Linked DNA regions of Struthio camelus. The protein of the gene in region 1 interacts with the protein of each later gene in a biochemical or structural test. Links are inferred from orthologs where the notes say so. Each region holds a gene or a part of one and is shown in the gene's direction. Other genes may lie near its edges.

Evidence for each region.
Region 2: the proteins of CEBPB (region 1) and CEBPG form a complex in vitro, tested with the Homo sapiens proteins (2 studies listed by BioGRID and IntAct, with this or other methods). The link is inferred for Struthio camelus from reciprocal best matches to the Homo sapiens genes CEBPB and CEBPG.

Annotation. Positions count from the first base shown.
Region 1 is NC_090959.1:10,031,207-10,038,893, forward strand, and holds the start of CEBPB (CCAAT/enhancer-binding protein beta), read left to right. Parts: upstream 1-4,516; 5' UTR 4,517-4,804; coding exon 4,805-5,791; 3' UTR 5,792-6,915; intron 6,916-7,524; 3' UTR 7,525-7,687. UniProt on the Homo sapiens protein: Important transcription factor regulating the expression of genes involved in immune and inflammatory responses. Also plays a significant role in adipogenesis, as well as in the gluconeogenic pathway, liver regeneration, and hematopoiesis.
Region 2 is NC_090951.1:12,240,285-12,247,395, reverse strand, and holds the start of CEBPG (CCAAT/enhancer-binding protein gamma), read left to right. Parts: upstream 1-3,919; 5' UTR 3,920-4,083; intron 4,084-4,413; exon of another isoform or gene 4,414-5,304; 5' UTR 5,305-7,111. UniProt on the Homo sapiens protein: Transcription factor that binds to the promoter and the enhancer regions of target genes. Binds to the enhancer element PRE-I (positive regulatory element-I) of the IL-4 gene. Binds to the promoter and the enhancer of the immunoglobulin heavy chain.

The DNA of each region.
Region 1 (7,687 bases):
CTCTTATTATACTTGCTCAAAGAGGAAGGAGTAAAGACAGTAGCTGCTGCTTTGCACCGCTCCCCCTCACGGGCATTCGTGTGCACCCTGCCTCTCTGCTCTCTCGCAGAGCCCCAGAGTGGGTGCTCTGACCTGCAATCTGCTCTGGAAAATTTTCCGTCTGGTAGGAGAAGGTATTTTGCTCATGTTGTCCCACCGGCTGGAGGCACCAGTGCCAATCTCCAGGTGTCGTCTCTGCAGCACCCGGTAGGGCAAAGAGCAGCAAGTAGATAAAGCAGGGATTGAGCAACCTACCACTGCAAAGGCCAAGCATGCCGGGTCAGAGGTGAGCAGAAAATAAGCAGAAGACTAACAAATACCCGAGCATCATCATGTCACATGGGAGCAAGGGGTGAGGGAGCACTGAGTCAGGGGGAGGACTCTGTGCTGCAACGAAAGAACCGCACGAGGCCAGGAGACCTGGCCGCAGCGGGCAGCCGAACAACCTGCCATGGGAGCTTGCAATGCTGAATACAAAAGCTGGAGTTCAAAGAGAGAGGGGACCAGGTGCCCACAGTTTTTTATTTCAAAATAAGGCAAAATCTCAGGTCTGAGAAGTAGGGGAGACAGAAGGAAAGCCAGCCTCTTCCTAAGTTGAGACATTGTCTCTATCTGATGTTGATACAGTGGAGCAGGGTGAGTGCAAAGCAATAGCCTGAAATTCGGCCTCTACCAGGTACAGCGCTTGAGTTTTTGCTGGCATAAGGTTGGCAGCTGCATAAAAAAGGACCTGGGGCCAGGAAGAAGGAAAAGGCAGAGCACAGAACATGCTCAGAAATAAACTTCCATTTTACTTCTCTATTTTTCAGCTTTTATTACAGCATGGCTCCACTTAAGTCAGCCTCTCAGACAAGATCACCTCCTACCCCCCAGCAAGCTCCCCAGGTCGCCCCCGTGCTCTCCCAGGCTCTCCCGAAAGCCATTACACTCTCTTCTTTAACTCACCTCCAACACACTGTCTGCAACACCTTGTTCACTGGTGCACGCCATCAACTTCTGGCATTAACCTCTTCCCTCTTAGCCCCTCTTCTGCTCCTGAACATCTTGTTTTTGGACCGCAGATCTCTGGGCGAGCTGCGTGTTCGCACCATGCTTACCATGCTGCAGCACTGATCTGACTGATCTGCTAGCAATTACTGCAAGGCAAATAACACATGAGAGAAGTCTGCAGCAAGAAGCATCAAAATTATAGCCAACTTTTTCCTAGCGTACAATCCCCAATCCATAGACCTTCTTACAAACACTTCAGTGTATGATGTGTCACTATTAAACTGGTATCTTCTCCTCTAGGCTGATGTCCTTCAGGGACAGCTGCTGTAACCTAGAGGGCAGGACTGGAGAGCTTGTAAGAAATAGTGGAAAAGAAGACAATTTCCAGAAAGAAGATGCCTCTACAACGCTTTAGTGTAGGGTTGAGCCTAGAGCTGGAAAATTGTGGCTTTACAGTACAGAAGGGAAACTGGAGGGCAGAATCTAAGTCCTGACAGAAATGAGCAGTGAATAAGAGATTCTTCCCTCCACCTTTTCCTCTTTCTGGTATCAGTGTGCTACCCTTCCAGTATTTATATTGTTTTACGCATGAATCCGGAAGCATCTGGATTTTATTGCATCAGAAAAAAAATTTTTTTTGCTCAAAAATGTTGATGTTCTAACTAAGTAATCTGTGAATGATGCCGTCTCCTTCCCCAGTTGACTAGTTCTGAAAAGGGAAATCATGAAATCATTAGAAAGCAGGCGCTTTTGACAAAATATTGACTTTCTGCTGAAGGTTGCTCTGTCAGGACACCCATTGCAAAAGTGCTCTCACCCTCAGGTATTTCACAGGGTGACACCAGTACCTGGACCCCTCAACCAAGAAATGTCTGCACCTCAATTTCTGCCTAAAGTATCTCTCTAAAGCGAAGGCTTTTGGGGAGGATTAGTAGCCCGTGCACATCTGGCCAGGCCAGGCCACAGCAGTCTCAGGGACAGGACTGAGTGTGCTCAGGCCCCTGCCCAGGCTGCCTGGGACAATCCTCCGCAGTGTGCGCCTTGCTCTGCACCTGCTCACGCTTCCAAAACCCCATTTCTGGCCATGCATTTGTTATGACAAGTGCAAAAACAAATTAAAAGACACAAGAGTTAGCTCAAAACTGGCTTGCTGAATGTGAGGGTTTTGGATAAGTGGTTAATTCCGCCAACAAGGTTCCCATGAGAAGTTGTGACTGGATGTTGCTTCCCCGTGAGTGGCTGCTGGGCTTTGAGGTGAGCTGGAGGAAGTTTAAAGAGATGCAGGGACAGTGCGGAGGTGAGGGGGGAGACGGGATGGAGGCGACAAGCTGGGCATCCAGCCTCAATTCCTGTGCTGGCTGACGTGTGATCTCCGTGAGTACAGAATTACTCAGCGCGGGCCTGGAAAGGAGGTGTGGGCCATACCATCTCTGATACAATCTCTTTCACATGATAGTTGCACAGACATTTTGTTAGGGAAGATCGGCCTAGGCTCAGGTACAACTTTCTGCTACAGAGCAGCAGCAAATAGGGCAGCAGGTCAAAGAAAGCAAATGTGAGATCCCCAGAAACATCTTGAAAATTTGCCCAGGAGATTTACCAGTTTTAATGTTCAGTTTTAGCTAACGGCCACGGTAAGCTAGAGATCTGCCAAAGACCAAACATGCATTTCGGGGAGCCATCACTGTAGGAGACCACCTGCTTGTGAGTCCCTCTGCTTGGAGGTAGAAAGCACGTGAGAGCAATTTCCACGAGTTCAGTTGCAAGGGCCAGTTACAGCAGCCGTTGCCTATAACTGCCAGATGAGAACGCAGGATAAAGACATAGAAGAAAAGAGTAAACTGCCAGAAGAACGAGCCCCGGCTCACTACAACTTGCCAGCATTTGCACCTAATACAGATGTTTGTCTTCATGAAGGTATGGGCTGCAGCTACAACCTGCAGACCAGATCTCTGGCCAGGCCCAGCTCCAGTTTAATCTCTGGTGCACTCACCAAAGATTAGCCTGGTAGATAAAGATGGAACTAGAAATATTTGAAGTCTGCAAACCTGTTAGGGTACTTTCATTATGGAAAGAAAAAGCCATTGAAAATGTGAAAAGAAAAAGAAAAGAGGAGAAAAAAGAAAAGAAAGAAAAGCCTGATGGTCTACTGACTGATTTCTGAATTCTTCCTCTTTTCAAAGTTTTGAGGTTTGAACATTATGAACAGTTGACTGTTTGAATCGCATAATGCAATACCTGTTCCTCTGGCTTAACGTTACAGTATTTCCCACACCGCAGGATTGCTTCACATTATTCTGAGAGGCAGTGTCATTTTCCCTGCAGTGCTAGGCCTTCTTTACTAAGGCGAAGGACACTCCTACTTCCTTTAATTATATGTTTTGTTTTAAATTAATGTCCTTTATTCTGGGGATGAATCACCAGCTTGTAGACAGGTAAATGTGGGAGTAAGAGAGAGAAAATATAAGTTTGATTCCCAAGGTGGGTGTCTTTAATTAAAAACGGACATCAAGATTCAGTCTTCCTTCCTAAACTTACCCTGCAATTCTAAAAACACGTGGATTCCATGTTTCTATGCACGTATCTCACTTTCCTTCTGAATCACTTTAAATACGGCCCCCTTCGGTTTCAGAGCACAAATTCCCTATCACTTGTGTACCCTGACAGTTGCACCATATCATGTAAAGTAAATACGCCAAGACAAACGTTAAGGCCATCATCCCTGCGTGAAGAGGTGGGGAGGGGAGCGCAGGGTTTGCTCAGCTCTCTAACCGCTCATAGCCGCAAGAAGGAAGTCTGGAGCAGCGCCGTGTCCTGCTCCAGCTCCATTTCACCGAGTTCCCTGCTGGCTGTTGTAAAGTGGTTCGGAGCACGTCTCTATGGGACAGTTTTGCCTGCCAGTGGGATTTACTTGATTAAACATTGGCCGGAGAATAACAGGATCTGTCTTCTATTTGCAGCTTTTTCCCTGCCTTGGCAAAAGAACTCGGAAAAATCCCTCCTGCCTTGATTTCCCCAAGGGTAAAACAGGACCCAAACGGGATTTGCACCCACCTCTGCACGGCACTTTCCGCCCTACAGCACTAAACCCTACTCTCAGGTGCAAAAGATCCAGCCTGTACTGGCACGACGGCGGCAGCAGCGTCTCAGGACGGGCGACACTCGTGTGTGTCCACGTCCCGCAGACCCTCCAGGGGCGAGTAGCGTCCACTGACCTCTCGTGCAGATTTTACAACAGCTCAGAAAAATCAGCCGGCAGGAAGAAAGGTTGCCCTGCTCTTTCTCTTACCTGCAGGACTGTGCGAGTAAGTCCCCTCCCTCAAAAGCCAACCCTGTTTTATTCCGGGTGGCTAGGTACAGTCGCACACGCACACACCCCCCAAGTGCCTCCTGCGGGGCCAGCGCCAGCGGTTGCGAAGTGTGCAGCGTGGCAGGCGGCCAGGCGCTGACGTTCCTGTTGCTATGGGATCCACCGCCCCTATAAATAACTGAGCAAAGGAACTTTCCTAAGTCAGAGACTTTAGGACACGGGACCCAGAACCAGATGGTCCGGAGGCGAAACGCCGGCTCGAGTAGCACCAGCAGGAGCGGTAAAGCCCCGCCGTGCCGCAGGAACTGATCCAGCCCCGGTGCTGGGCAGCGCAGCTGGGGGCCGTACCCAGCACCAGAGACTGAGGCAGGGTTTGGAGCCCCCCACCGCAACGGCGGCAGCTTGATCCTCTGCCGGGGGGGGCCCCTGCGCTGTTTTCTCCTCCCTGCATCCCTCTTTGCTTTCATGCAACGCCTGGTGGCCTGGGACGCAGCATGCCTCCCCATCCAGCCACCCGCCTTTAAATCCATGGAAGTGGCTAATTTCTATTACGAGGCGGACTGTCTGGCTGCTCTGAACAAGCTGCACCCGCGGGCGGTCGGGGGCCGCTCCATGACCGAGCTCACCGTCGGGGACCACGAGAGAGCCATCGACTTCAGCCCCTACCTGGACCCCTTAGCATCCCAGCAGCCGGCGCAGCCGCCTCCTCCCGCAGCAGCAGCAGGGGGCAACTTTGAGCCTGCCTGCAGCAGCGGCGGCGGCCAAGATTTCCTTTCCGATCTCTTCGCCGAGGACTATAAAGGCAGCGGCGGCAGCAAGAAGCCCGACTACACCTACATCAGCCTCGCCCGGCACAGCCACCCCTGCGCCAGCCAGAGCCACAAGCCGGGGGGGCTGCCGGGCTGCTTCCCGCCCCAGATCGTGGAGACCAAAGTGGAGCCGGTCTTCGAGACCCTGGACTCTTGCAAGGGGCCCCGTAAGGAAGAAGGGGGAGCCGGGCCGGGACCGGGGGGCATGTCCTCTCCCTACGGCAGCACCGTGCGCTCCTACCTGGGTTACCAGTCGGTGCCGAGCGGCAGCAGCGGGAACCTGTCCACCTCGTCCTCCTCCAGCCCCCCCGGCACCCCCAACCCCTCCGAGTCCTCCAAGTCGGCCGCCGCCGGCGGGGGCTACTCCGGCCCCCCGGCGGGCAAGAGCAAGCCCAAGAAGTGCGTGGACAAGCACAGCGACGAGTACAAGCTGCGCCGGGAGCGGAACAACATCGCGGTGCGCAAGAGCCGCGACAAAGCCAAAATGCGCAACCTGGAGACGCAGCACAAAGTCTTGGAACTGACGGCCGAGAACGAGCGGCTGCAGAAGAAGGTGGAGCAGCTCTCCCGGGAGCTGAGCACCCTCAGGAACTTGTTCAAACAGCTGCCCGAGCCCCTGCTCGCCTCCTCGCCGCGCTGCTGACCCCCGCGCCGGGCCGGGCCGCGCCGCCGCCGGCTCCCTCCTCTCGGGCCGGGAGAGGAGGAGAGCCCGGGGGGCGGATTGGTTCTGTTTTCGGGGTTTTTTTTTTGTTTTTCTTTTTTTTTTTTTGGTCTTTATTTACGTGTGGGCGGAAGGCCCCGCCACGGCGAGCTGCCGCGCGGGCTGCCCGCGGGGGCCCCGGCCCCGGCCCCGGCCCCGGCCCCGGGCGGGCTCCGCAGGCGGCGGGGCGCGGGGGTTATTTAAAACGGCGAGAGGAGAGCGAGGGCAGAGTGATGCAATCCTTTAAGCATGGCTGGGAATGCTGTGTACATGATGCAATCTCGTGTAACTGTCAGTCATGAATTGAGTAATCTGTTAAAGATGTTCCTACAGTTTTTTTTTTTTTATTATAAAGAATAATCTATTTCTATAAGAAAATACATATGTATATTTTGGGATCTATGCATTCTTGCTACATTTGAAGCATTAATGAACAATTTTAATAAACTTTATGACTAGGTTAAAAAAGTAGCTTGTTTTATTTTGAGAGCACGTTTAAAGTGAGATTAGAGACAGAGCTGAAAATCTAGCTCAATCTGGCTCAATGCTGAGATCAAGGACCAAGATTTTTTTTTGGTCTTTTGACTTTCTCTGTAACTCAGCAAAAAAAAAAAAAGGAGGGGGAGGGGGACGAAAAAAAAAAAAAAGACCTAGCAAAGAGCAGAGCTGGGAGCTTTAGCCAGTTCTTTCTTGCTGCCTCTTCTTATTTCCTCTTATCACTTGCTTTAGCTGCAGCTTGGGGGTTGTTTGGGGAGAAAGTGTTTGTTTTGGGGTTTTTTGCAATTCTCGCTGTTCTTGGTGTGTAGAGACGTGCTGTCCAAAGCGTGAGCAGTACCTAGCAAAGCAATGCCAAGTCTGAAGTGGGAGGGAGGAAGAAAAAAGTAAGGAAGGAAGTTTGAAATGAGTTGTTGTTGTTTTTTTTTCCTTTAAGGAGTGTCTATTCTCCAAGTTACAATTCAGCATTTCTTGTGTTTGTAGTTTACAGGAATAAACATGAGGAAGTAGCATATCTGTTGGATGTCAGTAATTTGGTCAAGGCTGAGAAAGCTTGCATGAAACCTGGCCAGGTGAGAGGCGCTTGAATAACTCTCCCTAGTACTTTCTCTTGAGACTTTTTAAAAAATGTTTCTAAAAACCGTGGGTAGAGTTTCTCCGTTGAAAGCTGTTTGTTTATGTGTGCATGCGTGTTTGCTGGGGCAAAACAACAGATAACGTGTGGGGGTGGCAGAAAAGGAGGAACTTGCAATAGGCCATAACTTTGTTTCAAAGAGCAATAAGGCTTTGCTGCCGCTACGGAGCCCGACTTGCCAAGGCCCCCGAGCCGTGTATTTCCTGACTCCCCACTGTTCGCTGCTGTGTGGATGTCTGTAAAAAGTTAACCGTCTTGAGCTGGTTACATGGAGGGAGTTGAGCAAATGATCAAATCTTACTCAGCATTTTCCATTTTCCTGTTAGGCCAAATTTAACCACTAAGTTTTAAAATCTGGATTCCCAGTGCCCCGCAAAAGAAATTTCCTCACTGTCTATACTCTGTTTGACAGCTGAATAGAGAATATATTTTTTTAAACAAAAAAGTAGATTTGAATTTGCTGCTGTATATTCCAATATAAAGAGTAATTTTTGCAATTCTCAATGCAGAAAAAGGAAAAATCTTGATTTTGATTGCTTACTTCTAGCGTTTCTTTAAACAAAGCATGAGTTCTGCTGAAGGAACTGTTCTACATTTTTGACACTTAGGATCTTCTCCTCCTCCGGCAGGTAAATCTCCCAGAGCTCTTACTAAAATATGTTTTGTGTTGCCTGCTTCCGCTATGCCTCCATAGCTGCTACCAGGGGCTG
Region 2 (7,111 bases), on another chromosome or scaffold:
TAGCTGATGCTAAAAGAGCTAGAGAAGACGTGGGGGCAAAGCAAACAGCTGTTGGCTTGCTGGTCCCTCTCCTTCTGGGAAACATTCCCTTTATTCTGCACAAGTAACTGAGTTAGTCTCTTTCATAAAGCAGTACGATTTACTCTAGACATTCTGGTAACTTTGATATTTTGATAACTGCAAATAGAGTTGGAAGATGCAGTAGGAGAATCAGAAACTGTAAATACTTTGTTGCAAAAATTATTAGCTACATAGAGAGAAAGAACAAAGGCACTGGCTTTTTCCTGTAAACGAACGCCAGGCAGCGTTACAATAAAATGGATGTTTGCTATTAGAATAGAATGGTTCCTTTCTTTACTTAGTATTTTCTAGAACAAAAGCACTGCAACTTTCCAAGGCTATAGTGAGTCAGTGCTAGAACTAGAAACGCAGTCCTGAAATAGTGACCACCACTAAGCAATGCTTCCTCTCCTTTCTCTTCACCTATTCATAAAGGCTGTTACTGACAAATAATCTATTAATAGACAAGTTTCTACTATTTAAACCATTTGGTTTCTACCAAATCTGACTGAGAAACTACTCAGAAATTCTGTGCTTTTCAAGTGTAAGCTTTTTCAAACAAATGAAAAAACAGAGGTATTGATAAGAGCTTTTTTCCCTTTCTTTCTTTCTGAATCTCATTTTTTGAAATGCAGATTTCTGACAGAGCCAGATTCCTGATTGATACATTAAACTCAGCAGCCCTTTTGCTTTCTGGAGCTTTTATAACCTCAGCTATACCAAATCTAGATTTCTAACATTATTTTGATCTTGGTGTAGGTCAGTCCTGAATACAAGCAATAATTATTGTAATACCAAGGTGCAAAAACTATCACAAGACGACAGTTTTACAATCTTAAGATTAGGGAGAACCTTTATTACAGACTATTTCTGGGATACCCCTGAAAGAATGCCATCCACTCGGTGAACACCAGGAATGTGATCACATTCAAGAAATTCTATCTAGCTTTGAACAAATCTACGTTGAGAGAGCAGGGGTAACAGTTACTAAGAAAACCTTTTTAAACAAGACTCGCAATAGCAAATGTGAGCTAACTTTTCTTTTTGTTCTCTTTCTTCCATGTCAGAACAGACAGAAGCACACTGCTGCTTTCTTATTATTTGTTCAATATTCTGTTACGACACAGCTCTATTTGGATGATTAAAATTGAAACACTAAATGGTGGGAGGGGGGAATTACAGATCTGTGTCCCTTCAGCTTCTAGAAGACTTCTACAGAAAGACAGAAGGTTTTGGCATCTTCTAGTATATTTGCCTTCAAATACATTAGTATACCTTACATCACAGCTGGGCACTGTGTCTTTTTACCCAAGGGGCCTATATATTTCTGTTTGTAAAATATTAAAAAGTATTCACTGTTATATTAAAAACATTTAATTGCCAGTGTTCCAAATCACAGGAAAACAAATGATTGAATTCTCTTCTAGAAGAATTCAAAATGCACAGAGGTTAGACCAGAAGAAAAACTATACAGTAACATCATGTGTGAAAGGTAAACCATCAACAGAAATGTGCAAGTCTGAAGTAAAAGGTCCAGTGAAGACTAACCAGGAGAGAAATGGAGGCAAAGAACTGAAGGCTTACAGGAAAAAAAAAAAATCTTTTGAAGTGTAGGTTGTAGTCCAGTATGTTTGTATGTTTTTTTATTTTAGGATAAAGAATTAACAGTTCAGGAAGAACAAGCAGAAACACTGGAATCAGACACAAAATAAAAGTGATTCAAGAGAGACAAAATAGCTTTCACAGACTGTAAGTGGAAGGTTGCAGAGAACTTCTTAAATGTATCTGTAAGGGTTAAGGGAACATACTGAGCTTTGCAGTGCAATATCACTGCAGTATAACGTGTATAACCTCTGGTTACCTGTAATACTCCCCAAACCAATTTATCAGTAGTGTGACTCATACATAGTGGGTAATAAACAGGGACAGTCACCCCAAGAGACTCCTCTTCCCTTTACACTTTCTGCTTCTGATTCCCACAGACACTGTCTTCTTCCAATTGCTTTTCTGCCTCTAACTGTGATTTTCTGTAGGTTATTTGAGAATGCTGAATGTCTTTTTTTTTTTTTTTTAAGGAACAGAACCTTTTAAAGAGTGATTAGATTGGATTATACAGGTGAGAATAAGATACTATTACAGATAATAAGATACTATTAAGTACAGTCTCGTGGGTAGTGTTGCTATGGGAACCCATCTAGAACCAGAGTGAAAAGGGTTCCACCCCAGCAGGGACTGGTCGGCTTATGATGCTGAAACCCAGAGCTACTGCACGGCTGAAGTAACTTGTGAACAAGCAGGTAAGGTGTATGCTTCCATATCATGTCTGAAGAGTAGATGTCCATGTATTTTTGTGATTACTTTTTAGACTTTTCCCATCATATTCTATTGTTACTGCAACACTGTGAGAAGAAATGAATTCATCTTACAAACTCTTAAGCACACTGTGTGATGGTTTTCATGTGACAGGATACAATGCCAACCAAGTGCTGGAGCTACTTATGTGTGTGCTTTAAGGTTTAAAGTTTCAGACTCTATGAGAATGAGTAGGTCTACATTGTATTTTCCTCAGTTTTCTTTGAGGAAGATTAATGAATGGTCATAAAGTGCTCTACAATCCCAGGAAAGCGCTCTAAGAGCACACACTTACTTAACTGTTATAAACAGAGGATAATGTTTAATGCTTACCTGGAATCTTTGCTCTAGTTATAGGTGGATGAGTCACCATCAGAGAAAACGTAGCAGTTTCAACTGACAAATAAAAAAAAATTAGAGATGTTAAAACACATACTTGATGACTGACACGGAAACAGTATCTTCATAGTAACGAGCTGAGTAAAACTGCCCAGACAAACTGCCCCAAATTCTTCTGCAAAGGAGGTTTATTTTCCTCAAGGCTTTACGAAAACAACAACATAAAACCCACACAACGTCAGACGGCCACAAAAATGGCAAATAACAAATTATTACATCTGCTTTACTGAACGCTGCAACTATGCTTACAAATCTGATTCTTCCCGCTCTTCTTTTGCGGACGTAGCACATGCTTCACAGACAGGTCTACGTTGCACCGGCGTGGCGCACACATTGAAACTTTTCCTCTCCGCACTTAAACAAAAGCTCTTTTCCCACACTGTTCTTCTGGATGCCCACACACCTGAGCCTGCTCAAACCTCGACTACCTTGCATGTTGACAGCTTTCCTACTGCAAACGCATACACCTGTGCGCCGCTGTACACCTTTTCCATGCAAAGCGCTAAACCACGCTTCAGGCACGTACAACTGCGGAGACGTGGGCGCCTGTCGTCACAGCGCACACGCTAAGGCAGTTCCAACACGGTTGGAAAAGTTTTAAGGCCCAAAAATTCCTTCTCTAGAAATAAACAAAAATATTTTAGAAGAAGCAAAGATACGCCAGCATAAGCCGTGCGCAATCTCTCCACGACACCGCACTCCCCCTTCCTGTTTCTAGCCCCCTTCCCTGGGTGGGAAGTTTTTGAGCAGCAACTCATAACCCACGGCATTTTAGGAGTTTATCGTCACTCCTGTTGCCAAGAGCCGCTCTAGCCTCGCATGGCGGCCGCTTCGGGAGGAGCCCAGGGGCGCCGGGCCCGCGCGTGGGTGACGGCACGGGCGACACCGGCGCGCAGCTCCGGCCGGGGCCTTCCCCGAGGGACGGCCACGGCCACGGCCACGGCGCCCGCTGGGGGCCGGGGCCTGCCCACCGCCGCGGGGCGCGCGACCTCCCCACGGAAAAACACGGCCTCTCCCTTTAAGAGTGTTGACGGGGGCCTGATTGGCCGCGCCCGCTGCCAATCCGGGCGGGGATTGCATCATGCCCCGGCGGGACCCTCGCCGCCCATTGGCGGGCGGCGAGGGGGCGGGAGCAGCGCGCGGAGGGTTTCGCAATCGCCGCTCGCTCGCACTCAACACTTTAAAGAAAGAGACTCGGGCCCGGCCCGCGCCCCCTCCCCGCCCGCCCGCCCGCCTCTCCCGCGGCCGCTACCGGAGCCGCAGCCGGGCCAGGTAAGCGCCGGCCGCGGGGCGCGCTGCGGGGAGGGGGGGGGGCCGCGGGGATGCCGCGGGGGGGGGGCGCGCGCGGAGCGGCGCTGCCGCCGCGCATGATGCAACGGCCGGGCGGCCCCGCGCTGCGCGGGCCCGGCGCTCGCCGCCTCCCCTCCCCTCCCCTCTCTTCCCCTCCCCCCGGCGGCGGCGGCGCGCGGGGCGGGGCGGGGCGAGGAGGGGGCGGGGCCGCCGGCGGGGCGGGGCGGGGCGGGGCGGGGCGGGGGGCGGCGCGGCCGGGGCCCCGCGCTGAGGCGGCGGCGGGGCGCTGAGGGAAGGCCGCCGCCCGGTGGGGACGGAGTCGCCGCGGCCGTTAACGGCTTCGCGTTGTTCAGGGATAAAAGGCCTGTGAACAGGGATTTTTTCCCGAAACGCCGCTGATGTCGTTCTGCCTGCTGGAGAGGGCAGCGAGTTCGCTGCGCAGGTTTCTCAACGCCTCAGCGCCCGCCTCGCGCTGCCCTAAGAGACAGCGCTCCTGACAACTCCTGTTTTTCTCTTTTAGCTCCTCAGGGGAGTTTTTCAGTACCTTTAAAATATCTTTCTGGCTCCCAGATGAGCTTTTATAGCCCCATACGCAGCTTTCAGAAAACACAGGCCTTGACTTTTAAGTATTTTGTTGCAACACCTGCTAGGAAACACCTTGCCAGTCAGTCGGACAACTTAACACAAGGTTATGTCCTGCTGGTTATAGCACCTGCTCAGAAAGTGTAAAAACGTACGTTTTGAAAAAGTTTAAGAGGCAAGGAATTAGCTCATCTTTAAAAATAGTTAACTGCATTGTTTTTCATCAAAATCGAGTTGACACCTCTGTAGTTTTGCCTCCTGGCATCCAAGACGGTTTGCGAGGCTTGCATCATTGGTTTTGCTAGACTGTGATTGACATGCATATTTTAGATGCTTTTCAAAATATTTTTAAACATGCTGGAGTGCATTTCTCTTGTACATGGAAAAAGTGGAGGTTGGGAGAAAAATACAGGAAAGCAACGTTGCCTGTTATGGCAGCATAACAGATTTCGGCTCCCTCTTCTGAAGAAGCGTCGCCTACCGTCCAGAAGGCGAGAGCTATCGTCAGCTCTGGCTAGCTTGCCCGGGAGCCGAGAGGTTGCAGGAGGCCGTGCAGAGCTGGGCCTTTCCGCTGCTCAGCAAACGCACGCCGGGCGTTTTACGCTGTTGTTCTTTATACAGGGTCATCTGGATTTAGAGTCAGATCCTACTGGGGTATTCCTACTGAAGTCAATGACAAGGGAGGCCACGTATTGCTGTTCAGATTTGGACTGATTTTGCACTGGATAGACAAGACAGCTGATCGAATTTGTACAGTAAAGTCATCCTGACTAATGATCAGAGTCAACAGAGTCGCAAAAGAAGCAGAGAGAAGCACTTTATATTTTTTGCTGCTAAGTAAAAAAAAAAAAAAAACAAACTGGTTTAATTAACAAATTAAAACATCTTTTTTCCCCTCCCAAAACAAAAACTTGGAAGTTTAAATTTCTTTCTCCCCCCCACCCCCTTTTGGAAAAGCAAAGATAATAAAGGTCTTGATTTGCTTGGGAGTCTCTGTAGTCCCTGAGGAGCGCTTTCAGACTGTAAGAAATTTTCCTGAGAGGACACCTCTGAGAAACCAGCTTTATGCTGTAGTGGGTGGCCAGCTTGTGTCCTGGGGGGCCAATTGGTGGCCCAAGGAGAGAAGAAAGCAGTTTTAACTGGCCACTGGAAATGCTAACATGTGCTGGGTGGAACTAGCCTAGGGCTGTCACTGAGCTCAAGCTAACCAGCTGCTTTATGGGAACAAGATGCTAGGAAACTTGAGCCGGCTCTCCAAGGAGCTGCCCCCTGCTATGCTGGGGCTATTGCCCAGTCACAGCAAACTAACCTGTTCCTGGAGAGGAGAAGAGCAGCTGCGTGTCTGTGGCAGGATACCTGAGACCCAGCTGCCTCCTCGTGCTCTTCCCCAATTATCGTGTCCTTTACCTCAGCTTCCTCAGAACCTCTTCCTTATGTCTCCTAGCTGCAGCCTTTAAACCTCCTTGCAGTATTCCCGGAATGCCCCAGCGTAGCTGTTGTTATCGAGGATATCCTTCCATGCTGTTGTTCTGTCGTGTAACTGAAAACTTGCAATATAGATCCAGCCTGCAAACAACCCCAGGGGAAAAGAGTAGTTTCCAGCATTGCCAGTTATTGCTCTTGGGTTATCTGGGAGGCAGTACAGTTAGGGCTACTTGCTTTGTACAAATATTAGTTGGAGCAGGACTGGCATCCAGGTATCATCTCTCTCAGGTAAGTGTTCCGATCACCAGGCTAGACAGGAACCTGTCTCCCTCAAGGAATAGCTATTTAATACAGGATGGATCTGCTGCAGTAGGAAGGAGTTGAGGAAGATCTATTCCAGAATAACCTGTGCTTCATGGCCAGAACGTTTACCTGAGAGGTGAGAGGCCTTGGTTCATCATCTCTGCTAAGAACCACATACTGCCCAACTAAACTTATTTCAAGTATTCCATTAAAATTTAGTTTAATGGAACAAATCCTTTTCCTTTGAATTATGGGAATTTGGTAGAGATCTTAAATATTTAAGCAATATTAAATGGTTTTGATAGCATAGAGAGAAATAACACGTGGAACCTGGTGATGTGAAGAAACTCGTTAAACTTTGGGTGGAGTGCCTTCAGGTGCAAAAGCCACCCTTTCCTCTGTAGTATCTCATGAAGCACAAAAAAGCAGTTAGTGAAAATGGTACTTCTCACATACTACCTAACTGGGCTGTCCAGATGAAGTTAACAAGGACTGTAATTTGTTGAAACAGAGGGCATAGGAAAGTCTTCTGTCCAACTTTGAAAACATCCCAAAAATTAGTGAAAAAGTTTGGTTGTCATAGCCAGAGATGATCTAACAGAGCTATTATATACTATTTGAGGGCTACAGAAATGCTATATTTAGAAATGTAACTGAGACAAAGCCAGAAGAGCAAATAGTTGCATCCCGACTTTAAAAA